7 linked regions of the Coturnix japonica genome follow. The protein of the gene in region 7 purifies or fractionates together with the protein of the main gene of each other region. This does not show direct contact. Links are inferred from orthologs where the notes say so. Each region holds a gene or a part of one and is shown on either strand. Other genes may lie near its edges.

Region 1 (3,500 bases), on a different chromosome or scaffold from region 7:
CTTATAATTTGTCTTATTCTGAGGTGTTACCATCAGAACTTGGTGCTTTACCCCTTTACCCTTGATGTCTGATCACATCACATGACATGTTTGTTATAAGTAAACATCAGCTGAAATCTTTGACGAGGAGTAGTTGTAGCTTGTCCTAAATTTGCATCTCGTTACAGTGATTTATGTTATTTGGGACTATTGTGGTTAGGAAATAAAACAGCCATGGAGAAGATCTGTTTGCAGTCGCTTTTAGAGGACTTCCTTTGCATGCAATTGAATGCATTAGGAATGAAATAGGAAGATGGCTCATTTATAGAGTGTTCCTGTTTGTCATTGCCAATTAAGTTGTCAGATGCGTTGATTGATTTTATATATTAAACAGATTATTCCAGTTCTCAGGCAGCTTATTTTTGATCGGTCTCTTGATGGCTCTTTTTGCACTTAAAATTTTGAAGATACCAATTGAATTTTCAGCCCAAAACTTACATTTGAAAGTAGGTAGTCTGTCACCTGGAAAAAGCCTTCTGTCTTTGTAAGCCATAATTGCAGGCTGTGCTCCTTTGGCTTCCTAGGTGGTTATCCCACTCCCTCTTCTTTGAGGCTTCCTGCTCAGTGAGCTGTGGGTAATCCCAGCCCTGGGCGGGCAGTTTGACACTGCTGCAGCACTTCCCCCATGGCAGAGGTAATGATCTGCTTCACGAAACACTCTTCATAAAATGTGATAGGGAACCACCGAGTTGGTGTTTCGGGATCTGGGCTTTGTGGTTTTGGTTTAGTAATAGTAGCAGTTGATAAACATGTTATCTGATTCTTGTTACACTAAAAAAAAATTAAAAATAATAATAAAAAAAAAACTTTAAGAAGGTTTAACTATGCTGTTATCTTTCTTTTAAAAGCTCTCTAATAAAATAAACTGTGTACTATTGCTGTAGTGATAAACGCGGTCAGCAGTTAAAACTTTGAGAGTCGGTTCTGGATTTTAGCCAGATGTCTCCCAGTAAAAGTAGAAAGATGAATGTCATTTCACAGGTTGCAGTCTGACAAAGACACAATGGCTAACAAAGTGACTGTGGGTAAAACCACCCTGCTGCCTGTATCCTAATTCTTATCATTTCTGTATCATCTCTTCACCTCTGCTTTGTGTTTAAACTGAAGAGTGAGATATTTTTTCCTTGAATTATTTTCACTGGATTTGCAATGAATATACGTGCTTGAGGGAGGTGAAGAGGACAAACTCAAAGTAAAGAATAAACCTACAGTTAGCATTAAAAACATGTCTGGTTATTCTGGTTTCTTATGTTACTGACCAGCTTGAAGTAGTTTACATAAATGATGTATGCACTGCAGTGTTCTTCCAAGAGAAATGAATTTTGTCAAATGACATTTAAGGATAAGGAACTGTTTAAAAGAACAGACATTTAAAACACTGTAAAAATACACAAACTCTTTCAGGGTATATGTGAGTGTAATCTTAGGAAGGTTAATCGTGAAGAAACTAAAGTGAGAACTATCTGCTTTTGTGCAGTTAAGGCTTCTGTAAGACTATACCCAACTTAATAACCTCTCTGTAAGGAATGAAGTGGGCTGAGAGTTATGAGGGTAATAAGCAATGGGACTGTATTACAGGAACGGTGTACAAGCTTTTCATGAATATTATTATCTCACGAAGAAAAGACATCGAAGTGTGTGTTTTCATGCAGATACATCATGCAAAACAGACCATCTGTCTTCTCATGTCTGACCACAGCAGTTGTGATCACCCAGGGAGCACGGCTTACAAGCACAGTATTTGGCCCATAGTGCGCTTTGAGGCACGTTATGCTGGAGTTTGGAACTATTATTCTGTCAGATTCCAGATCTGATGACTTTCAGACTGGTGGAGGTGTGTTTCTGTTTGCTCCAAACTATGTCAGACTACTGGGAAGATGTCTGTTGGTTTGAATTACACCTTAAGTGCACCTTAAATTTAAACTCCTAGAGGTCAGGAGACTGTTTAGAGAACTGTAACTAATGTGTTTTGGAGACTGGACTATAATAATTAGCTATTAAAATGCTGTGTATATTTTCTCCTGGTGGTTCATAACAAGTCTAATGGGGTTCAACATTTCAGTACATTATAATTATTAAGTCTTTGTTTTAACATTGTTAGCATTGAAATACATATTCTGCCCACATATTGAAGTACTGTTTGCTTTTGCCATCAAAACAGCTTTTTTTATATTCTGTTTACACTGAAAAGCCTACTTTGTGCTCCAAAAGTGATGAGAAGCTTGTTTGTGCAGTTGGTGTATGTTCAACAGTAATTAAAGATGGCATTTAGCGCTTCGATGAGAATCTTTCAGAATGGCTGAAAGCCATATTTATACAGTGGTGACCAAGACGTATCTGTGGGATTCTCCAAAACTCAGTCACCACGTCTCCTCTGTAGTCTTGGACCTCATGAATGACAAGGTGGGGGTCTCTGGAATGGCTGAAGATTAGCATCTCCTGCTGTTTTGTAATTATTAGAATCTGGACAGTCACTTATTTGAATGAAGTAATGCATACAGTTTGTGCCTCTGAATAAAAGCATACATAATGTGATTGTAAGAAAAGGTTTTCAGTCTCTCAGTGGGATGTCATAGGGTATGTTTATAAACTCCAACCTAGCAGTTGTTCTGCAGTGGAATTCCACTGGTATTGAGATAATAATTTGCACAGTCAAATTGCTTTCTTTACAAAAACCCAGGGAATTATGAGACCCTAATCCTTTATTAATGTCAACCCATAGGCAGCAAGGAAGCGTAAGATTGCCATTCGAAAAGCCCAGGGGAAAAATCTTGAGGCCATCCGAGAGCTGAATGAATATCTGGAACAGTGAGTGTCTCACAAGAATACAGATTGTGTGTTGCTATTCTGATAAATCTTTTTAATTAAAATGGAATTTGCATTTGATTTATGCTTTTCCTTCCATGCTGGTCATTTACAGAATCCCTCTACACATTCTTTCTTTTTTGCCTTTTTTTTTCTCTCTTGTCTTTTCTGTACAGATTTGTTGGAGACCAGGAAGCTTGGCATGAACTTGCAGAACTTTACATCAATGAACATGAGTAAGTCGTTTGCAAAGTCTTCATAAAAAATGTTAAATAGAAATATGTTCTGTGCAAGTGAAAAACCTCAGTGATTATTTTGAAGAACTGATGTTAGAAAGCATGAAGTCTCATTTGCAATATAACAAACTTTGTCAGGAAATAATTAACAGCCTTGTCAGACTGCTAAGACATTAACAAGGTATTTGATTTTAAAACAGAATTTAAATAATTACTTGTATGTTTCAGGCATTCATTAAATCCATTATTTTTAATTAATGTTCTAAGCATAGCAAGGAACAGCACATTTTCTCTAGGTTTTTTTTCAAGTGATGTTTTTTACTGGGTATAGATTTTAAATTCTTTGTCTCTAAAAGCCACTGATCAGACCAAACTGTGTGCAATACTCGTATTTTCAATTAGACTATCTCTGCAGGAACT
Region 2 (4,044 bases), on a different chromosome or scaffold from region 7:
GAGCTGCCTTACTGCAGATGATACATATGATGATTTCAGATGCTGAAGATATGTACAGCTTGCTGTTAAATGCACCAGTTAAATGTCTTTAGCTCCCTTTTAGATGAAAGATTATAAAGCAACAGCATCTCTGTATAACTCAGATAAGACTGTTTCAGAGATTTTATAACTTCAGACATGAATGCATCTCCTACCTCTACATAACCAGAGAGTGGAAAGTCCTTCCGGAAAGGATGGCCTTCAAACCCGTAGTCTGTGAGGATTCGCCTTAGATCAGGATGGTTGGCAAAGAAAACACCATACATGTCCCAAACCTAAATGAAAGGGAGACAAGTTGAATTAGACTGTCTATCTCCATTCTAATCTCTCTAGCACCTCCACGATTCACTAGGTCACCTGGAGGCCAATCTAACCATGAAAACAAACAAGCCTAACACAGGCTCCTCTTACTTTGAACAAAGTACCCTTTGTTATTATATCCACAGGATTTCAGTTCCTTGCCTGGTTTTGTGCACTACCAGTGCAAGTCATAAAAGAACTAAAGAAAAAACAACCAAACACCTTTGTTTCCCCCTGTTCAGAATAAGAAGTCAGTGAAACGCTTCTTTCTTTCTCAGTGCCCTAAGTATCAAGTTTGATCAGGAAAACACAGCCCCCCTCAAGAGGCTGCTCCCAGGTAGGCTGGCACTCACCTCCCTTTCATACCAGTTTGCTGCTTTGTGCACAGACACTGCTGAGTCAATAGGTGTCAGCTCATCAGTGTATGTTTTCACACGGATCCGACTGTTGAATCGCAGAGACAGGAGATTGTAAACAATCTGAAGCAGAGTACAAGAAGGCATTGGGCTTGTAAGGACTTTGAAGGTCTCTTTGCAATATAGGACAGGCTGAGCAAAGATACATCGAGCCCATTTCAAATACTCCTTTTCAGCAAAATCATGTTCAGCTCTTAGGAGCTGGGCACTGAAAGGCACCGTAACTGAGAGTCCCATGCACTATCTCTTCCTTAGAAGTGTAACAAAAAGTATGTGGGATTTATAAAACATCAATTATTGAAAAAGAGTTAAAGTAATGAAGAACAGTAAATCTTAAAGAAAGAGAATACTGGAGGGATGAAAACACTTGACAATAGCCTGTCTCAAAGAAAACAGCTACCAAGTACTCTGAGTATCCAGTGATCCAATTGGAATGTTAAATTTGTTACCACAGATAAACCAAGGGGAAAAATAAACCAGTTACTTTTCTTTATCCTTGTAACTTGCTGGGAATTAAACTACATCATTTCTCCCATTTGAAGGATGATCCGCCCAAATTGGACAGAGGAAGGAGAATTGTTAAGGAGAAGATTGATGGGATTTTAAGGAAAACTGTGACTGTTTGTGTTAACAGCAGCTGACAGGCCCAGGAGGAAGAAGGAAGAGCACCAGATTGTATCAAGCCAGAAAGAAGGCTTTGTATAAACAAACCAAAACAAGCTACTACCACTCCCCACAAAAAGACTTCTAGCAGAACAGAACAGGAAAGCCTAACTAGGAATCCATGCAGTATCAGACTTTTTTGTGTGTGTGAAGTACAAAATCCAGTTCTAGCTGCAACAGCACCCATGGCCATTAGCACCTGTGAAACTCTCTGAGCTTGGTGTCTCAGAGCAGTTCTTACCTCGAAGCGGTACTGCCGAGATGGGACATCAACAGCAGTCAAGTCAGCCAAGGACTTGAACTGGGCATTAGTATGATCTCGGAGGAAGGTCAGAACTGGAATAATCCCATCTGGATGGATCAGAAGCTCCAACTCATTGAAACAGGTCACCTGATGAAAAGGATGAAAGGGAACTTGCACGTGCTAACAGGATTGAACGCTGCACAGAATCCAGCAGCACATCATACAGAGTACACAATACAGCAGACACAATGACATCAGAGAAAGTGGCTCAACAGTAGTTGTAATTTTCATGCAATTCTGACCATCTCCCTTCCACACAACAGCTTCTGACATCTAACAGGTGGTGTGTTCATGCCGTCCCTTGCCTCCCAGCAAGAACAATTAATTGCGGAGCACCTACCTGTACTTGCTGGATGTACTTGGGCAGGATCTCAGCCACATACTCCCCGAATGCACAGAGCTGCTTCTGTTCCACTTCATTTTTCGGTCTGACAGTAGCTACGGCAAACAACAGATTCCAGCAGGGCACGTCACAGAAAGAGCAGCAACACTCAGCACCTCCTTAAAAATCCCTTTAACCACTCTCAGTCTCTCAGTAGCTCTTTCAGAAGCAAGGCAGATTCAGGCATCCCATAAAGCTTACACATGGTAAACCTGAAGCTAAATATACAATACATGCACAACGCAGTGCAGAGTTTGCTATCATAAAAACGACATCAAAATAACACCATAAGGCTGAGGGACACTGCCTCTGAGCCACATGAATAACTGAGCTACCTGAATAACTGAGAACCACCTCAATAACTGAGCTACCTGAATAACAGCCCTCCGAAAACAGCCCCCCCCTCCAGCCCCCCTTTCACTTACGTCGCGTCTCCGTGGCCGAGCCCCCCGCCAGCCGGGTCTGCACCGCCGCCGCCGCCGGGCCTGCACCAGCTGAGGACAGAATGGACACGCTGTTACCCAGCTGTTTTCCAGCTGTTACCCAGCTGTTACCTCCCGCTCTCACCTCGCCGCACGGCCCAGGCCAGGCCCCGCACCGCCGCCGCCAACATCCCGCCGCCGCCGCAGCACGGCCGGGCAAGGGCACGGACCGGAAGCGGAAGGACTCGCCGCCACCGAACTACTTCCCCCGGGAGCCGGAAGCGCGCTGGGATCGCTCGGCGGCTCTTCCGGGTGGGTGCCGGAAGCGGCGAGTGCCTGGCGGCGCCTGGCGCAGGGTGAGGGCCGAGCGGGAGCCGCTGGGGCAGCACGGGGCCGAGGCGGCATGAAGGGAGGAGCCGCAGGTGGGTGTCGCACCGTTTTGTTTCTGAGCGTTATGTTGCTGTGAACCCCACGTACTCCCTCGCGGTCTGTAGCCGTTGCTGACGCTTCCCCGTGACGCGGCCCCTCCTGCCGTGGGGTTGGGGCTGCGGTTGTTGGTGCTTGGCTGGGAGCGCTGCGGGACGGGCTCGGACCCGCTAATGCTGGAAGTGTAGGGCTGAGCTGTTCTGGGTCACGACCTCAGTATCGTGGAGCATCACGGATGGTGCAGCCGGTCCGATGAGTGCTGTACAACAAAGGTCATGCTTAAAACAGACCGTCCAAGATGGGAGGGACCTGTCCAGCCCGTGAGATGGGGAACAACCTCCTGTGAACAAAGCGTCAGTGAAGAATGAGGAGCCGTCCTGCACCAGCAGGGCTGATGCAAGAGCAGGAGTGTTTGAAGGCATGGGAACAGGGAAAGTAACCATTAATCTCCTGGAGAGAAGTCATGCGTTTGAGAAATCATGTACTGGAAATCACGTGCAGAAATAATCAGTTCAGTTTTGCTTTCAGTCACCATAGTTGGATAGTCGAGGTGTAGAACTAGAGGGAATGCAAACAGGCCTCCGTTTGTTAATGCTGCCAGGAGCTGTGTTAAAGCCCCTTTCCTGCAGCAGTCCTTAGCTGGGTCAGAAGCTTCTTCAACTCGGAACACTGCCAGTTATCTCTGTCGCCTGCTCAGCAGTGTTGCAGACCGAGTTCTCCTTGTCACTTAGGAAATGGTGACTAACGGCATCTAGCAAGTTGTTTTGTATGCTGAAAATGAGTGGCACATCAGCAAATATGGCCATCAGTTACCTCGTATACTTCGCTTGAGGGACTGATGGTTGTGCCTGGCAGATTTTTTGGTAAAAACAAAATCACTTTACTCGATGCGTTGCAAAAACTCAAACACATTGGATGCTAATTAACTGATCTTTGCATTGCGATACTTTAACCCCTTTCTCTTCCACCCAGCCCAGCAGCAGTAGCGTTGCTTTTCTTGGCTTTGCAAGTATTTCTTTGTGCCAGTGAAATGAGCTGTGGAAAGATGCAAATCTTCTGATTGTGCTGGGATGCTGTGCTCACTGGGAGTTG
Region 3 (3,992 bases), on a different chromosome or scaffold from region 7:
AGCCCAACACCTCCATGCAATGGCAAGCCTAGCCAGGGGCTTTGCAGAAAGAGCAGCAATTACCCACACTTATTTTCTCTGGCTGAGTTTTAACATGCCCAAGTAGGGAGTTCAGTTTCTAAGCCAGAACATGTGACGCCAGCTCCGCTCTTCCAGGCTGCTGTGGATACTCCTTACGACTTCCCTCCAGTCCCCAGATGTTTAGTCCAGTGGGTGCTTTGCAGGAAAAGGTTCTGAAAAGAGCCTTCATCAGCCCCATGGAACACACAGCCCCAAGGCAGGACTGGTGGCACAAGGCCAGCACATGTCCCTTAGTTACCACCAGCACTCACTGCTGACCTCCACCAGGCTGGAAACACTCTCTCAGCAGGCTGCACTGCATTCACGTGCTGGAGCCCACAGTCAGTGGGTCATGCAGGGCTCTGCCTTCCCCCTCTACAATCACAGAGGTCCCTGGCCCCTCACACTGCAGCTGCTATGAGAACAACCATGAGACAAAGAAAGCTGGCATCGGATTTTTATTTCTTTGTACTCTTTAAACAGGAGTGACTGAAATAGAAACCATGTTTGAGTCCCAGCAGTGGGAATGATTTGATAAAGACGAGGCAGGAGGTTGTCCCTGCCCCATGCCAACCTGTATAAATATCATCCGTTACTGTTAGTAACTAGACAGTTTTCATACAAGTCCATGAATGGTCATAGATAACATATTACAACATGCCACTTCAGAACAAGAAATAACTTATGTGTACTTCTTAATTTCATCATACAGCACTAAGACGAAAGCACCACCCATTCCTCGGAGCACATTCGACCATGCACCTTTGAAAAACGCCTTGGAGCCCTCGTCCCGGGCAATCTTCCGCCAGCAGTCAAGAGTGCCACTGTACATTATGTCAGCTGTGGGAACAGACAGTGTTAGAAACCTGCTGCCTATGACCCCCAAAGTCCAAGTCAGAACCCACCTAACGTATCTGGCAGTTGTACAACCTCATGTATCCATTTCTTGACTTACTTTTAGACGATGAGATCGCCCAGGCTTGTGTTACCCCCAGGAGACACTGGAAGGACCAGTCTGAGCAGAAGGCAGCTACTGTTTCCTAGACACCAAAACTTCCAGTCCCAAAAGCTACTGCAGTCAGCCAGGCCGTGCCTGCACTGAAGGACAACCCTTCTTAGCCCAGAGACATGAGTTTCAACATCCTCAGGCAAGCTCTGCCATTCCTTCTTACTGAACAAACCCAACCTGCATGTTCCCCTTACAGGGATGCCACAAAGCCAATCTATTTGCCCCCACCTGACAGCTGCTTCTGCAGTCCCCTCATATCCTGCAGTTTACAAGAGGAGAAGGAATTTAAAGGCCTTGGTGAAGGGCAGCACACACTCCTGCCCCCAGCACAGACCCACTGCCAGCTGTTGATTCAGGGATGCCCACCAGCCCCTAACACAAGGAGGGAGGGAGCGACTTACTTCCTTTACGGCCGGACTGCATCATCATGCGGCGCCGAACTGTATCGAAGGGATAGGAGACCAAACCGGCCACCGCGGTGACCGACTGAGCGATCATCCAGCTGACCACGATGTGGGTGTTCTTTGGGTCGGGGAGCATTCCTGCGGGAGAGAGGCTCTGTGTGACATCAGCAGGCGAACCGGCATCACGCACAGTGCAGGGCTAAGGGCCCACAGCTCCACGGGAGCGCCGTGCCACCCCACCTACCCTTCGCGGTATCGTAGATGCCGAAGTAGGCGGCTCTGTAGATGATGATGCCCTGGACGGACACGTTGAAGCCCTGGTACAGGCCCTTGAGGCCATCCGAGCGGAAGATCTTCACCAGGCAGTCACCGAGGCCGCTGAACTCGCGGTCGGCCCCGGCTTTACCCACGTCGGCGGCCAGGCGGGTCCGGGCGAAGTCAAGGGGGTACACGAAGCAGAGCGAGGTAGCGCCGGCAGCGCCGCCGGACGCCAGGTTCCCCGCGAAGTATCGCCAGAACTGGGTGCGCTTGTCCACGCCGCCCAGGAAGATCTGCTTGTACTTGTCCTTGAAGGCGAAGTTGAGCGCTTGGGTGGGGAAGTACCGGATCACGTTGGCCAGGTTACCCCGCCAGAAGGACAGGACGCCCTGCTCGCGCGGGATGCGCACCACGCAGTCGATGATGCCCTTGTACTGCTTGTCGGCGGAGATCTGCTTGCTGGCGTGCTGCACCTGCGGGGGACACAGCACCAGCAGCACTATCAGCACCAGCAGCACCAGCAGCGCCGTCAGAGCGCCCGCCCGCCGCCCCGCAGCCCCCCTCTCCTTGACGACCTTGGAACGCCCGCCGCCCCCGTCCCGCCGCTCACCTGCAGCAGCAGCTTCACCCGCTCGATGGGGGCGACGGCGGTCTTGGAGATGGCGGCCGCCACCCCCCCGGCGAGGAAATCCTTGAGGAAGGACACGACCGCGTCGGCCATGGCGGGAGGCGGCGAGGAGAGGCCGGGCGGAACGCGACGGGGGAGGCGGCGCTGCGGCAGCGAGGCGGGAGCGGGGCCGAAATGGCCGCGTTATATACGGGCGGCGGAACACACGTGGGCGGGGGCGCGCCACGGCAACGCGCCGCCGCGTTCCACACGCCCATTGGCTGCGGGAGGGGGCGGGGCCGCCGCAGGGGGCGGGGCTTAGGACCACCGGGTGGCGCGGAGCGACGGGAACCGGCGGGAGACACCGGAGGGATGGAGCTGAGTGCGGGGCATGACTGCACACACAGCCGGGATAGAGCCCTGTGCGGGACATGACTGCACACACAGCCCGCATAGAGCCCTGTGCGGGGTATGAGTGCACACACAGCCGGGATAGAGCCCTGTGCGGGGCATGAGTGCACACACAGCCGGGATAGAGCCCTGTGCGGGGCATGACTGCACACACAGCCGGGATAGAGCCCTGTGCGGGGCATGACTGCACACACAGCCCGCATGGAGCCCTGTGCGTGGCTCCATTAACAGCCGCGTCTCCCACGTGCCTTAATATCTCTTCCAGGACCTGCTCCGTGATCTCAGACTCAGCAGCCTGCAGCTCCCAGCTCTCCCTTCTAAGCAGATGCAATCACACAGCTGAGAGGCTTGGCTGATACAAAGTTAATGAATGGTTTATAGGCCTCAGGAGTAAACTGTAATACAGAGGGGACAGTGGCATCCCACAAACAAGTGAGAGGTACCTTTTTGACTCGCTTGAGTCTCATGAAGTTTCAAGAGGCGAGTTAACATTTATATGCACCCATCATCCCATCTTTAACATCTATTTAGAAATACAACGTCAGTAAAAACAAACACAAAAAGTCCATGTAAAAGCACGGCTCAGAAACCAGTTCTTCCCAACTCGCTCACAAGTCGTATTTCCTTATTTACACACATCAAATAAATGTCAATATTGTTAATGACGCTTTACAAAGATAGGGAAACCGAGGCAAAGAGAAACATGTTCACTAGGCAGGTTGATGAGAGCCAGAAATACTCACACAGCCTCCACGTGACTCAGAAGCCACAAGAACTGCTCCCTGTCACCCTGAGTTCTGCTATCAATATCTGTGCTTCTCTGTCAGAAGAAAACCAGCCACTGTAGCAGTGCACAGCAAGCCCATTACTGGAGATACAAGAGCTCAGCTGTAGGGTACATCAGTGTTAAGAGTGCAAAGCAGGTCTTACAATTATCTCAGGTAATGGTATTATGTTTCCTGAAAGGGCCCTGGCCTGGTGAGAGGCCTATTTAACTGCAGTGGCACCAGTGAGAACCTGGAGGTTGTGCTAAGTTCCCAACCTAAGGAAGGGCTGTGGGTCCCAGAGTGCAGAAGTTCAAGAGGGAAAGTGAGAGGATGTGTACACGGTGCTCTTCTGCAGGCAAGGTCTGAGCAGCACAAGGGTCTGAGAAGCAGTTTAGCATAAAAATAGAACTTTAAGAATAGTGGAAAACATCGTAAGGCTCGTGGCTCTGAAATAACTCAGGTACACAGGAGAAAGG
Region 4 (2,200 bases), on a different chromosome or scaffold from region 7:
AGGAGCTGAGGGGAGGCTGATGGCGGCTGCAGCTCCTCACAGGAGCGGAGGGCAGCGCTGAGCTCTGCTCTAACAGCGATCACGGCCACGAGCTGCCGGAGCTGAAGGGGTGTTGGACACAACTACCACTCCCCTACATCCCCACTCTGCCCCTGCACCTGATGGAGGGGGTTCAGCATTCACCCTCTGTACAGGCAGCTGCTCCGATCCCCCTCAGCTGGTACCTGCCAAACTCCGGAGCTGCTCCCCTCACTCCCTACATACTGACACCAGCACCAGTTTCCAGCACGTTCCTCTACCCACCCCCCCAGTGGCACCAGCAACAGCTCGAGCTGCTGCATGCAACCACCAGCACAAGGCTCCGTGTCATTCCAGAACCAGAACAGCCCGTGGGCACAGGCTCTTCTTGCGGATTGTCACAGGCACGGAGCCTCTCAGGACAGTCATCACTTCATGCTGCAACCCTCCATGTCAGGACACAGCTCTGAGCACCACAAGGATGTGCTGTAGCGATGGTACTATTTATTACGTGATCAGATTCAGATACAAAATAAGGGCCAAGGGAAGAAGAATGTCTAGCTGAGGAAGGTGGTGGAACAGGGCTCCCCACAGGCTCGCAGGCCCTGGACAAGTATCCCCTTTCTGGTGGGTGCTGCCCCATCAGTGTGTCCAGTGTCTGTTCTGCCCCACTAGCTGGAGGCTGCCTGCTCTGCCTTAAGCATCTCTGTGCTGAGGGGCTGGGGGTCCTCATGGGCTAGAGGTAGCTCATCCCGAGTCTTCACAGCTTGTGTCTTGGTCAGCGTGGTGTAGATGCCCAATGCCTGCAGGAAATGAGAGAGCCATCAGGGAGGAGATGAGATGCACTGGATGGATACAGGAACAGAAATGGTCATTTGTCCCTAGAGAGGGCCCTGTGGGACAGCAAGAATACCTGCAACAAGGCTGTGACAGGAGAGGACAGGGTGTGCATAGGGCTGGGACAGAGCAGGCCCCACAAGGTAGATAGGGCCACAGCAGCTTCTGAAAGGGCTCTGCTCAAAGCCCTGATGTTGTCAGGTCACATCACCATTTTAAGACAGCTGCATGGGGAACTACTGCTAGCACACAGCAATGCCCTCAGGAACCAAGCCAAATCCCTGCTCTACACTCAGCTGCATGCCAGCAGAGCAATGGTCGAGACTTACATATCGAGAAGACAGAAGTCAGCACTTACCTTGTATTTTTACCAGCTTGTTCTGCCCTCTCTTCTACAGCAGCAAACCATCACAGGCCTGTTTTGCAGCTAGGGACAGCTACACCAGAGACCGCCTGGTTTCCACAGGATGCTGCAAAGCAGCTGCTCCAACCCACACCTTCTATCCCAGACCCACACACTGGGCCCATTTCCTCATCTCCACACCTCTCACTCAGCACAAACACCCATCCACCACGGTAAACCTGGTTGTCACTTTCACTAGCCCCCAACAAACAGGATCCCATTGCTGACACTGACCTGTGCTACCATGTGGGTGACATCACCAGTGTTGGTTGGCAGCAGGACTGTGTTGGAATCTTTGGCAAGCTTGGAGAAGGCGCTCACATACTGCTCAGCCACAGAGAGAGAGGCTGCTGCACTGCCGTGCTGGAGAGAGACAGATCAGGCCCATCAGGAAAGATGCCAAGTCATGTATGACCAAGAGCTCAGCCCAGCCTGTTCTGTGTGCAGCTCATCGCAGAAATTTTCACTGCTGCTCAGGATGCCAGTAGACATCACATAGAAAGCCATGTGCCACCCCAGCTTCAGTTTCACCTCCCTCAATGCTAGCACCAAAGCTCTGGCTTCCCCCAGTAGCCATGGCTTACCTGCTGTGCCAGAGCAGCTGCCAGGAGCTGAATGGCCTCAGCCTTGGCCTTAGCTCTGACCAACATGGCATTGGCTTCTCCTGCAATGAAGCACAGCAGAATGCGCATCAGAACTGAGACAAAGTGCTTGCAATAATTACAGCAAGACAATTTCATTCATGCAAAGCTTCCTTTTCGATAACAATACCTCAGTGCTGTTCTACAACAACCCTCCTCCTACCCCTGTGGAGGGGTCTCAAAGGCCCTAGCAGAGAGGAATGAGCAGCTGAAGAAGCCTGGCCCACAGCGATGCAGTCTGCTCTCAAGGAGTATCACCCCTCAGCCCAGAGCAAAACAGATCCCCCCAGGCCCTAGTGAT
Region 5 (4,135 bases), on a different chromosome or scaffold from region 7:
CTCAACAGCTGAAACTGACTTGAGCGCATGTAAGCAACAAGATTTACTAGCAAAGCCCTGTGTTCAGTGCTACACTTTGTTACTGTATTTACAGAGGAAGCACAACTGCAAAACTAAGCACAGTGCATCCTCATGCAAGACAAGGGCCGGGGAAGAAAATTGTACAGACACAAGTCAGTACATTCAAACAAAACTGCCAGGAGACCAAAAGGAGGAGCAATACCCGCCCCATCCTCACCCCCTTCAAACGACATTCTCATTATTTCTGAGCAGGACTTGGCTATTCCACAAGGCAGGCCAATAGTTCCTTAAAGTTCAAACCACTGAAGAGCGGAGGAATCTCTGACATCTTGAGATCCCTTCACTTTCCACATCCTGCCTCCTCTGCTGTGTCACAGCAACTGCCTGCTGGTGAGCAGGGCAGGCCCTTTAAGATGGCTAAAAACCCTTCTGCTTTAACCTGTCATCAATGCTCCAGTCCAGTACACAAAGGCAGAAGGTGCTGTAGCAGGACAAGTAGCCAAGGATAAAGGATGTTAAGCTGCTAGCAGCAGCATCAGCTTTATGCCAACGTATCAGGTACACTGCAGGCATCCACGCCTGTCACACAGGCCTCTCATTAGGCAGACTTGGGAGATCTACACTCCACAGCAAAGCTAGACCACTAACCTCATTGCCAAACACTGTGATCTCAGCATCCAGATTCCCACCGCTCCTGAGAGGGATATAATAAAATTATGTTCATATCTACAGCAGCTCATACGATACAGACCAAATTTTCCCCTTAAGTGCTCAGTTCTGCAGTCAGACAGACTCCAGTAGTGCCCTGCCTTGCTTTCAACAGGCTGGAGTTCTGTGTGTGGGTGGTATCGTTGGTTTGGCTTTTTTTCTCCCCTCACAAAGGAGGGGTGGGGGCAGGACACACTGCTACTCTGAGAAGGGATCAGCCAAACCTGGAGCCCCCACGAGCAACAGAAAAAGCCACCCTGGTTGGACTGCAAGAAGAACAAACCAAGGGATTAGGTGTGAAAGGTGACAGCAAAGCTCGCCTTTAATAAGCACTTCAAATACGCCAGTTTCTAAAAATAATGTACAACACTGCAGAAACAGCAAGGGAGAAAACACCATGTACTGTTTGTCAGCACAGAGATCCCCGCAGAACTGGAAGTCCTTGGAGGACAAAGGCAGAACTGCAAGGCTTCTTGGCCATAAAACAGATGGACTGCAAGGGAAATTAAGGTAGGTGGGGAGAAATGTGGAGGCGCCTCAAGATCTTTGAGATCATGCCTAGAAATCAATTCAGGATTGCTTTGCTACAGAATTGATTCCAGCAAGAACAGGCTGCCATTTTGTTCACTGCAAGAGGCAGAAAAATGAAAGGCCAGGAAAGGAAATACAAGGAAGGGCTAAGTACAAGTTACAGGGTGCTCTCAGTGAAGCATTTATTCATTTACTTAGCGGGAAATGCTGCAACACATTGAATGAAAGGGCAAACTAGAGGAAGCTGTGAGCTTCCTCGCTGTTCTGCATTAGGCTTCTCTTCCAAAAGGGGCAGCCAACACCAGGAAACAGTTAACGTCCTATAGCCAGCTTGTCAAATAGTATGTAGAAATAGTCTCTTCATTACACATATATTTAAGTAAAGTGAAGTAAGTGGAAATATTGAGACTTAAATACTGAAGTTTAACTAGAAAAGGGCCAAGCATTCTGAATAAACCCACATAATGTAATAGCCACTCTCGTGCACCTCAAGTGTTTTTGTAGTAATATATTAACTTCCATTTAACCCATACTCTTAACACTGTTATATCACACCTTATTACGGTTCTATTATCTCCTTATAATACACATGGGTTATCACTACTTGACAAACATTAAATAACAGACTGAATTTCAACAAACATCACGTTCCCGGAGCCCGGACCTCAGGCACCAGACAAACCCCAAACGAACTCGGTGTGTTTTACACGATGCTCAGCAGCGTTCATTAACATCACAACCGCTGAAGCCCGGAGCTGTAGGTAACCCCAGCCAGCACCACATGGCAGCTTCCCTTCCCAATGAGCTCACCCGCAGCATTTCTCTTTCCACCGCCTAGAAAGTTCTGAAGCGCGGGACGGCACGTGAAAGTTCACTCTTTAGGAGCAGAGCAGACAGCGCTGTCACGACTACGAGTGCTTTACTAAGATTTGTAATTCAAAAGCACACGGCTGAGACCCTCAGACCAGCAGTGCGAGCTGAGAGCCCTGCGCTGCAACCAGCCCAGCCCGTGAGGCTCACAGCACGGCGGCTCTCAGCCCGCACCCCCACCTGTTGTTTCCCATTGCACACCCCGTTGTTTCCCATTGCTCATCCTCCCCGTCCCCTCACTCCGTGCTCTCCCCCCCTCGTGCCGTCACGGCCCCGCTCCCCATCCCGCCCATCCCCGCACAGGCCGCAGCGCCGCCCGCCCTCAGAACGTACCAGAAGGCGCCGTTCCCGCAGGGCTCAGCATGGCGGCCCGCAGCTCTCGGCCGCACACATCCCTCCCTCAGCGGCTCGGGACCCCCCCGCTGCCCACAAGGCCCACGCTGGAGGCTGAAGGCTCGAGGCCCGGCACCCCAACACCGCACCCCCCGCACCGTGCGGAGCCCCGCAGCCCCAACAAACCCCCCGCCATGTGTATATATGTGTGTGTGTCTGTGGAGTCACTCACCGCACCCCGCAGCACCGCGGACCCTCCCGCCGCCCCCGGCCCTCACCTCCGTCACGTGTCCAGGCGCCCAGCGCCGCCGTCGCCCGCCTATCTATTGCGCGCCAGCTCCGCCCCCCGGCCCACCTCTCTTCTCTTCTCCCATTGGCGAGCGGCGCGCCCACCCTCCCGCCCCTCCGCCCGTTCTGCGTTCTGATTGGCTAAAAGCGCCGCCGCTCAACGGCCCGCCCGCCTCAAAACACGCCCCAACGGCGCTGCCCTTCGTGGAGCGCTCCTATTGGCTGGCGAGGTTGCAGGAAGTGCGCGGTGATTGGCTGGCCCAGGGGAGGCCGTTGAGATGTGGGCGGGGACACGGCCGCTCTCTGTGGTGGGGGCACGGCCGGGGCTGCGGCCTGGGCGCATCGCCTCACAGCGGGGTTAGGCTTCAGAGCGGGGTTAAGGCCCCGTAGCGGGGTTAGGCCTCACAGCGGGGTTAAGGCCCCGTAGCGGGGTTAGGCCTCATAGCGGGGTTAAGGCCTCGTAGCGGGGTTAGGCCTCACAGCGGGGTTCGGCCTCGTAGCGGGGTTAGGCCCCATAGCGGGGCTCGGCCTTGTAGCAGGGTTCGGCCTCGCTCGCTGCTGTGCCGGGAGCTGCTCGTACTGCTGGGGCTCGTTCACCTTCATCGCTCCCTGGTGTTTCTTTAACCCCTCGGAAAGCGTTTTCAGCCTGTTAGGAAAATATCTGTGTGTCTGGTACCCCTTAGTCACAGGCTGAGCTGAGGGTGTGGGCCTGGGGCCGGGCAAGAGGCCTTGCAGGCCTTGTGTAACGCCGGGTTCCCGAAGGAAGCGATGCGGTTGTGTCAGGGTGTCTGTGAGGCCAGACGAGCGGAGGAGGGCGGGGATGCAGAAGTAACGGTTCTGGTGGCGGAAGGAAGGGCTGAGGGCTGAGGGGAGCGGAGCAGGCCCTGCCTCCGCTGTGCCGCCCGTGGGAGCTGAAGCCGAACGTCCCGGTGCCGGCTGTGGCCTCCGGGGAGCAGGGAAGGGGGGTTTTCCTTTACAAACGTCGTTCTGCTCTGAGCCGACGCGGTGAGTCAGCAGCGTTACGTCTCCTCGCAGAGAAAATTCCACCCCGTGAGGACAATGCCGGCACTGACCCAGCTCGGAAATGAGGCTCAGCATAAATGAGGTCAATCAGCAAATCCCGCTTGTGCTGAAGTTTGGGATCTGATGGTCGCAGTTTACCCCAAAGCCACCGAGCTGGCTCCTGTGCCTCGCTGTCAGCTGAGCTGCGCCCAGCCTGAATGCGGAGAGACAGGCAGGGAAGCAGCCCCAAACGACAGGCAGCAGGTGAGATACCAAGTGTCTTAAATAAGAAACCAATGCTCTAAAAGGTAACAAAGGTGTTTAATTTAGCATGTTCCATCTCCTCCCTGGGCAAAATGCAGTTTTTGCCAGGTACCATCCA
Region 6 (3,500 bases), on a different chromosome or scaffold from region 7:
ATTTCTATGCAGTTTAGCTATTCCTTTAGCTGATACTGCTGCCATTGTAAAAATATCTTCAATAAATTTTTCAGCGAGTTTTTTACTTGGAACACTGCTATTCTGCACTTGAGATATGTGTTATAGTTTGCCTGTATTAGCATATGGCTGACTACCTGAAAAGACAGGCAGATCTTTTTAAAGTAATTCTGTGAGATTATATTCTTTAAATACTATGATTGTCCTTGAAGAGGCCGAAGTCCCAGTTAAAGCTGAATGATGAAGCTTGGCTTTGGTAATACATGAAGTCCCGTCTTATACTGCTCCTGTTAATTGGAGTGCATCATGTCTTAACTGCTGCCCTCTTCAGGTCTCTTTTTCTCAGCTGATCCTAAACCAATTTCAGTAGCAGAGATAGTGGATCTTTTTAACTGGAATTATCCAAGCATAGGCGTAATCCAGAAACCATGAATGGAAGAATGCAATGGAAGGACTGAAAGTACAGTCAGCATGTTTTGAATTTCTCCTGACTGTATACTAGGAGCTTATTTATTTGAAGGTTGCTAAGTATTCAACAAAGCAAAGTTTTAAGGTCATAAAAAGTGAGGAGGAATTGCAGAGAAATGAGGTAAGTGTTGATAGAGGTTTGCACAGCTACTCCACTGTGGCGAAGTGAAAAATGTATGAGGGAGGGCTACTGAGAGCTTTAAAGAACAGACATCTTGTATGATGTTTTCCTTACTAATCACAGTGTATTTTATTAAATAAACTCACACATCTTAATTTTTCAGATAACGTCTTTAAAGTTGAGTATCTCACATCAACTTCTTAAATGTTTGCAGGTAAAGTGTTGCAAATGGAAGATGACCTGGTGATTTCCTTCCAGTTGCTGCTGTGTGTCTTAGATTATTTTATCAAACTGTCACCTCCTGCTATGCTCAAGGAACCATACAGTAAGACTCTGTGTTTTTTGTTTATTAAATCAAAGTGGAAAATAAATGGGTTAACTTTCCATTGGAGTCTTGCTAACATTCGCAGTTAAACTGCCAAAGTGTATTGAAATTGATTCTTTTTTTAGTATTTTAATTCAATTTAGATGATGATGGATTTGAATTAAGTTATTTTAATGTGGCAGTGTATTTAACATATTTCAATTCCTCTATCTCTTTCCCATGTCCCCTTTCCATTTGAGTTGTTCAGAAGCTTGTGAGAAGAGTAGTCTTGGCTTAGTAAAGTAATTTAGGTTCTGGGTAGATGGCAACGATTGAGTACTATTATTTAGGTTTGCTTTGAAATACAAAAGGAGAAGGTGGTGCTGTGGTTCTTGCTTCACTGATTCCTAGCAATATGATGACAACTGAAGTGTGCAAGGTACTGGACTATGCAGGCATTAAAAAGAAATACGTGATGGATTAAAAAAAACGATTGCTGTGATAGCTCAAAATGGTAAAGAAAGAGGTGTATATTTTAATATATATATTTAATACATTCACTTTCTATTAGAACATGTTTCTTCCTTATTTTATACACAGATGTAATGGATCTTACCTGTAGAACTCCCACTCAACATAAACTGTTGTATGTCCAACTTTTGTACTCAAAGCATGGGAAATGTCAATCAAAAGTCAGAGAAATTGTTTACTTTTCACTTGGAAAGACAGAACTCCATTTTTGCTCTTTGTTGAGTACTTTATTCCACAATCTATGGATTTGATACTCTATAGTATTTGCAGCCCTAGGAAGTAGAGAACAGTTTTTGATACTACACAAGTTTATCCGGTGTTGGATTTGAATGAGATATTGGAATTAACAGCCTGAATCTTCCTGCTCTTCTGTTGCTTTCCAGCTAAATATCCATAGGGAAAATGTAAAGACTAACACCTCATTATTTAAAAAACAGGCTGTGTGTATTTTATCGCTGTCATAATTGTAAAGCATATTTCTCACTTGGTACAGGTACTCTTGAAACTGTCACAAACTGCTTCATTCCTTTAGCAAGTAGCACCATTATTCAGGAGGCTTCACATTATGCTAAACAATGTCAAGCTTTGTGATATTAAGAGTGTGGGGATTAAGATGCAACCACCAGAGCAGTGTCGTTTGTCAGAATTACTCATAGAACTGTTAACAAATGCAAATGTAGTTATAATTGAGAACAGCTCTCTGATAAAGAGTATCAGTTTTAAAGCATGTAATTGTATTATCATGTTAATATAATTTGGATATTTCAAGGTGATGATATTGAGGCCATCTGCACTGGAACAGGTTGCCCAAGGAGGCTGTGGATGCCCCATCCCTGCAGGCATTCAAGGCCAGGCTGGATGTGGCTCTGGGCAGCCTGGGCTGGTGGTTGGTGACCCTGCACATAGCAGGGGGTTGAAACTGGATGATCATTGTGGTCCTTTTCAACCCAGGTCATTCTATGATTCTGTGAAAATGCAACATTTTTACCTCATTTGAAGTAAGCAGTAGAGCAGCTGCTTATTCACAGCTGCTTCTAAAAAGTGCTATTAAGTGGCACTGAATACTTGTAAAAACAGAATGTCCAGATACTGATAAAGGAGTTGAAAAATTGGTATTTTTTTGTAGAAGTTTTTGTAATGGAGGTTGCTTACCCAGCTGAAGAGATGAAAAGGGAAAGATTTAAGACTGCCTGAGAAGTCATAAATATTTAAATCTATGAAGTTACCGTAGTTGTTTTTCCTTAAGATGAATGTAAACTTGTGATGGTTCTGCTTGTCTTTTCAGAGTCTGCTGTGACTGCACTGACTGCTAATGGTTCAACTCGAACCCCACGAAGAGGTCAGAACAGGAATGCACGCGCTTCAAAGCAAATTGATACAGATACAAAAGTTATTGAAATCCTTTGTAAAGAGCATGATTGTAATTTAGATGAGGTAATGCCTGTGTTTTAATATATGTTGGATCTTGCTGCTAAACCCCTACTGGGATATGTGCTTATTTAAGCATTTCGGTTTTAAAAGACTGCTTGTGTTTACTAATTATTCTCTCAAGTTCAATAGTGAAGGTATTGTGCCATTCTACAGTTCTCTAGTAGGTAGGTTAACAAAATTAAGTCCCTTCTTATGATGTGGGTGATGAGTTTCCTTGCTAAGGTAAACTGTGAAGAATGCTGTGTTAAATTTCATACTGATCCAATGTCTGGTATGTGGATGCAGACCTGCTCTGATGGGGGGTCACAGCTGTATCTCACAATATGAAAATAACTGCTACTAATGCACTCCTGTGTGGGATCTTGAAGGCCTCATTCGCCTTTTTCTCTGCTGATAAATATCTTTCTGTGTGAAAATGACTTTATTTCTGAATATCTGAGCAGATGACTAGAAGAAAGAGGCTGAAAAGTGGGTAAATTCCTTCCCATTTTATTTCCAGCCGTGGATAGTATGCTGAATGCTTACATTTGGAGTGGATCCAGAGGAGGGCCACAGAGATGATCAGAGGGCTGGAGCATCTCCATTATGAGGATGGACTGAGGGAGTTGGGGCTCTTCAGCCTAGAAC
Region 7 (4,256 bases):
ATATACCTGCCTGGTTTCCTGGGCAGGTGACTAAAGTATTCACTGTGAGAAGAAATGACTGAGATACCAGGAACTACTTCCAAGCTAAAGTTTCTCAAAAGAATAAAGTACCTTTTCCACAATGAACCTGGCTCGCTCTGCTTCTTGCTGGGCCACTTGCTTCATTTCAACTGCTTCGGTGAATTCCTTACCAAAGGTCAGATGGGTCTGCAAGGCAGAAATCACAGTCCACAACAGCATTTACAGCAACACTGCTACCAACAGCACATGTCTAAGGCAGGAGGCGTTTTGCCTTTATCAGAGAAGATGGAAAGTCAGTATCGCTAAAAAAAAGAATGCAGTGTAACAGAAACTAAACCTAGCAAGCTTTCCATCCTTTTAAAAAACAAAGTCTATAGGTGGCCAGTGACACAACCAACTACTTTGACTTGAGCTGTAACCACTGCATCATGTGCAACTGCAAACAAACAGGGTCCACATACACAAGCTTTCACACCTCTTCTCCGATCCTCTACCAATTTTCTTCCCTATTTGCACAGGGAGAAAAACTGAAAGGGAACTCTTACCAAGGACACATCATCCAGAATGAGGCCAAAAGTTGCTGCTCTCTCTGTGAGGTCTTCGCTCACTTGCCTGGAGACCAGTTCTCTTTGAGTGATCAATTCTCCAGCATCAAAGCGAGCCTGAAGTCAGGATGGACAACAGTGAGAAGAAAGCTCTCAGATGCTCTACTTGTCACCCAACTTGATGAAAATAAAGCCAAGTAGTTAAAACGACAGAGAAGCAATCAGCATAGATACAGTTTTAACTCTTCTGTATTGCACATTAGAGCCAAGGGGTATAAAGAGAAGCCTCATTTTAGAGCTTCACATTTTCCACAATTCAGCACGTCTCATTAGTGCTAAAACAAAAGAGAAGCGACAGGTTGACCCCAGCATTTGTGCTGTTCTTACCACAACAGATTTGAGGATTTCAGTTGTGATGGAGGGCAGGACACGCTCATCATAGTCCTCCCCAATACTTGTGAAGATCCGGGGTAGCTGCGCAGTCACGGGTCTGAACAGGATACGCAGCGTGATGTTCACATTCTGTAGATCTGCAGAAACAGGCACAAATTTAGCATTAAACCTTATGGGCAGGAGATATACTGAAGCTGTCCCCTCCAGAGGAAAGCAAAATAAGACAAACATTCAGACTTCTAACAAAGGAAAGGTTTGTAGTATTTCATTAACCAAGGACTATATTTCACATAGGGATCCAAATCCTCCTTACAGATTAAACTGAAGCTTCAGTTTGTCTGTAATGCAGGGAATTACCCTACAGTAAACACAGACTTTTTATTTAAAGGATAAGTATCAAACTATTCCTGACTGCTAAACTCTACACTCATAGAATCTCCATGTTCAGAGATAAAACCCTCATTCCTATAGTCCTCTAGCACGTTAATGATCATAAGTGTCTTCAAAAAGCTTTTTCTCATGCCTCTGCCCACCCAGCTCCAAAGCAGCAGAAGAGTGAGACACACACAGTGCACATCAGAGTGCCTGGATCTTATAGAGCTGCCCAGTCCCAAACCTCACCTTTGCTGCCAGTAATGACAGGTATGTTACGTGGGCGAGAACGGCAATCAAAAATGATCGGTTTCTGTACCCAGGGGATGAGGAAATGAGTTCCTTCTCCTACCACCGTATCCTGGACTCCACGGAATCGATCAAAGATAACAGCTCTGTGTCCTGCATCAACTGGAAAAGAAAACAACATAGATTCAGTAGCATCATGAGTTATATCTGCACAGCAGCAAAACTTCCATAGGGACAGTCTATGGAGGTTAGTTAAGGCTTTTTGCTATGTAAAAATGGCAAAGCTATTAATATTCTTAGGAATAACAAATCAAAAGAGAATACTCATCCATTACCACTGAGCCCTCAGCCTGCTCACAAGAGAGTTGTGTTGAAAAAGCCTGAATTCCTCCTACTTATGCAATGCACAAGGTACAAAACAGCCCTGAAAGAGGCTTTATCACTGTCTTCCCCAGATACCACAAGCAATAAAAGCACAGAGCAGCCAGATAATAAGGACATAAAGAGAACTGGAAACACTCAGCCTGTCCCACTCACCATTATATAGAGCAGAATTGACGACTCCACCTGCAACAGCCAACCCCAGGCCGAACTTCCCAATGCTCTCAAACACTTTGGCAGCCATTTCTCACGTGCTGTTCTAACCCCTTTATGATGAACCTCCTGCAAAAAAAAAATCCCATAACTTCGGTAAAACTATAGGAAACGAGAAAACCAGGCAGCCCTAGTGTGTACCTAGAGCTGGGATGGAACCCCAATCCAAAAAGCCCACCATGAAATGGGATCATTCATTATAATAGCAATTTCTTTGCCCCTCAGCAGCCATACAGGCCTCTCCACTCCCCCCCCCCTTATCACCTTGGACTCTGAACCCAAGACCCCACATCCCCCCCTTCCCCCCCCCCAAAACCCCTCGAGGAACCCCACACCTCGAACCCCCTTTAATTCCCCATTCTCCCCCCCTCCCTCCTCCCACCCACGTTTCCCGAGGCCTCTGACTCTCAGGACACAGACCTGGCGGGTGAAGGCCTCGTTCGTACCCTCAGCCCCCAGCTCAGCTCCAATACCCCAAGACCCTCCGCCCCCTCCCACCCCACTCTCCTCCCGCAGCTCCCCTGACCTCCACATGAATCCTCGGCCTCCCACCCTACCGCGCATGCGTGCAACCTCAACACGCCCTCTCCCTATTGGCCCGCGCTTTCCACGAGGCATTCTGGGACTTGTAGTTCTTCGTTGTTATTGTAGTTACAGGGTAGGACACAACTCCCAGCGAGCTTCGCGGCGGTACCACATGCTGAGCAAGGCTGCTTCCTATTGGTTGTTTAGCTCGCTGATAGCAATGAGCCTCTGGGCCTGCAACCCCAGAGCCGGGCAGGCCCAGGCAGAGGAAGGAGCTTAATGCTTAACACAGACCATTGACATTGAGGCGCAGTGCTATTTTATTTAGCTCTTAGCTTTAGCTGACATGGCTCCTTGTGCTGTACACAGGCGGTGCTTTGCTCTGCTTGTTGTGGTCTGTGGTCCTCACCATTGCTGCATGTACTGAATAGCCTATAGATGCAAAGGGAAATTACTTTGGCTTCTAAACAGATGGATCTCAGCTCTTTGAGGCAGCTCCTTACCGTGAAGCGATTGGGCAGCCTGGCACTTGGGTTGGACGCTTGATGACTCGGGCAGCAGCAACGATACGGCTGAGGCTCTATAATAGGAACAAGGTAGAGCTGAGTAGAGCCCAGCCCGGCTCTCAGCCCTTCCTTTAACCCCAGGGCCGCTTTCTGCTCACCGGGAGGCAATGCCTGCGTCGGGCTGTTATCAATACCGTGCCTCGTATCCATTCTAGAGCAGCCCGCGGACTGCAAAGTACATATGGGGCTATAAGAGCCGCCCTAGCTCCGTTCCCCAGCCCTTCCCTCGCTCTACACACACCCGTATTAACGCGGCCCTGCGCCGCTCCAGCGCGGCCTGCCTTCGCCTCGCCTCCCAGTGCAAGGCCGACATGGCGGCGGCAAGCGTCGCCTAGCAACGGCCACTTCCGGCACCCCCCAGCGCTGATTGGATCCGGACAGAGCCGCTCTAGCTCTCTATCCTCTCTATGATCAGCTTGACTTCCGGTGCTTCCCGGATGCGGAAGTGGCTCCTGGTGTGTGGGGTGGGGGTGGGGGAAAGATGGCGGACCTGGCGGCTTTAGAGGAGCTCGCCAAGCTCGAGTATTTATCGCTGGTCTCTAAGGTCTGCACCGAGCTTGACAACCACCTGGGTATCAACGATAAGGATCTGGGTGAGTGAGGTGGGGTGATAGCTGTGGGGAGGTTGTAACCGGGCCTGACGGCCATGATGCCTTCAACGAAAGGCCTTTGGAATTGAGAAGAATAAAATATATCTCTAAAAGAAATATTATAAAACGTTTAGATGTGAGCGCCTAGAAGGGGATGCTGCTGTTCTGTAGGTAGATGGATCGATCTGGGTGCTGCCCTTGAACACCTTGGAGGTGTTCGAGACCAGGTTGGACAGGGCCCTGGGCAACCTGATCTATGGGATCTATGGGGTCTCTGTGGGGATCTATGGGGTCCATGGGGTCTCTATGGGGATCTATGGGGTCCATGGGGTCTATGGGGATCTATGGGGTCTCTATGGGGATCTATGGGGTCTCCTGGGCAACCTGATCTAGTAAATGTG

The links.
Region 1: the proteins of PHB (region 7) and EMC2 purify together in Homo sapiens (affinity purification with mass spectrometry; 3 studies listed by BioGRID and IntAct, with this or other methods). This does not show direct contact. The link is inferred for Coturnix japonica from reciprocal best matches to the Homo sapiens genes PHB1 and EMC2.
Region 2: the proteins of PHB (region 7) and NDUFS3 purify together in Homo sapiens (affinity purification with mass spectrometry; 3 studies listed by BioGRID and IntAct, with this or other methods). This does not show direct contact. The link is inferred for Coturnix japonica from reciprocal best matches to the Homo sapiens genes PHB1 and NDUFS3.
Region 3: the proteins of PHB (region 7) and SLC25A5 purify together in Homo sapiens (affinity purification with mass spectrometry; 3 studies listed by BioGRID and IntAct, with this or other methods). This does not show direct contact. The link is inferred for Coturnix japonica from reciprocal best matches to the Homo sapiens genes PHB1 and SLC25A5.
Region 4: the proteins of PHB (region 7) and STOML2 purify together in Homo sapiens (affinity purification with western blotting; 3 studies listed by BioGRID, with this or other methods). This does not show direct contact. The link is inferred for Coturnix japonica from reciprocal best matches to the Homo sapiens genes PHB1 and STOML2.
Region 5: the proteins of PHB (region 7) and CANX purify together in Homo sapiens (affinity purification with mass spectrometry; 3 studies listed by BioGRID and IntAct, with this or other methods). This does not show direct contact. The link is inferred for Coturnix japonica from reciprocal best matches to the Homo sapiens genes PHB1 and CANX.
Region 6: the proteins of PHB (region 7) and RB1 purify together in Homo sapiens (affinity purification with western blotting; 3 studies listed by BioGRID). This does not show direct contact. The link is inferred for Coturnix japonica from reciprocal best matches to the Homo sapiens genes PHB1 and RB1.

Annotation. Positions count from the first base shown.
Region 1 is NC_029517.1:119,278,183-119,281,682, forward strand, and holds part of EMC2 (ER membrane protein complex subunit 2), read left to right. Parts: intron 1-2,761; coding exon 2,762-2,847; intron 2,848-3,020; coding exon 3,021-3,080; intron 3,081-3,500. UniProt on the Homo sapiens protein: Part of the endoplasmic reticulum membrane protein complex (EMC) that enables the energy-independent insertion into endoplasmic reticulum membranes of newly synthesized membrane proteins.
Region 2 is NC_029520.1:20,332,147-20,336,190, forward strand, and holds the start of NDUFS3 (NADH dehydrogenase [ubiquinone] iron-sulfur protein 3, mitochondrial), read right to left. Parts: upstream 2,801-4,044; 5' UTR 2,718-2,800; coding exon 2,672-2,717; intron 2,599-2,671; coding exon 2,530-2,598; intron 2,161-2,529; coding exon 2,063-2,160; intron 1,810-2,062; coding exon 1,660-1,809; intron 819-1,659; coding exon 693-818; intron 315-692; coding exon 195-314; intron 1-194. Other genes in the region: KBTBD4 (kelch repeat and BTB domain-containing protein 4), read left to right, coding at 2,930-2,948.
Region 3 is NC_029519.1:15,436,811-15,440,802, forward strand, and holds SLC25A5 (ADP/ATP translocase 2), read right to left. Parts: upstream 2,551-3,992; 5' UTR 2,453-2,550; coding exon 2,342-2,452; intron 2,205-2,341; coding exon 1,718-2,204; intron 1,612-1,717; coding exon 1,471-1,611; intron 901-1,470; coding exon 743-900; 3' UTR 501-742; downstream 1-500.
Region 4 is NC_029547.1:7,860,553-7,862,752, forward strand, and holds the end of STOML2 (stomatin-like protein 2, mitochondrial), read right to left. Parts: intron 1,923-2,200; coding exon 1,843-1,922; intron 1,622-1,842; coding exon 1,493-1,621; intron 822-1,492; coding exon 690-821; 3' UTR 501-689; downstream 1-500. UniProt on the Homo sapiens protein: Mitochondrial protein that probably regulates the biogenesis and the activity of mitochondria.
Region 5 is NC_029528.1:4,533,817-4,537,951, reverse strand, and holds the start of CANX (calnexin), read right to left. Parts: upstream 2,801-4,135; 5' UTR 2,696-2,800; intron 1-2,695. UniProt on the Homo sapiens protein: Calcium-binding protein that interacts with newly synthesized monoglucosylated glycoproteins in the endoplasmic reticulum. It may act in assisting protein assembly and/or in the retention within the ER of unassembled protein subunits.
Region 6 is NC_029516.1:151,029,307-151,032,806, forward strand, and holds part of RB1 (retinoblastoma-associated protein), read left to right. Parts: intron 1-821; coding exon 822-932; intron 933-2,727; coding exon 2,728-2,876; intron 2,877-3,500. UniProt on the Homo sapiens protein: Tumor suppressor that is a key regulator of the G1/S transition of the cell cycle. The hypophosphorylated form binds transcription regulators of the E2F family, preventing transcription of E2F-responsive genes.
Region 7 is NC_029542.1:2,952,336-2,956,591, reverse strand, and holds the start of PHB (prohibitin), read right to left. Parts: upstream 2,801-4,256; 5' UTR 2,701-2,800; exon of another isoform or gene 2,595-2,700; intron 2,244-2,594; 5' UTR 2,206-2,243; coding exon 2,118-2,205; intron 1,743-2,117; coding exon 1,581-1,742; intron 1,097-1,580; coding exon 954-1,096; intron 796-953; exon of another isoform or gene 684-795; coding exon 567-683; exon of another isoform or gene 540-566; intron 208-539; coding exon 112-207; intron 1-111. Other genes in the region: ATP-dependent RNA helicase DHX8, read left to right, coding at 3,747-3,858.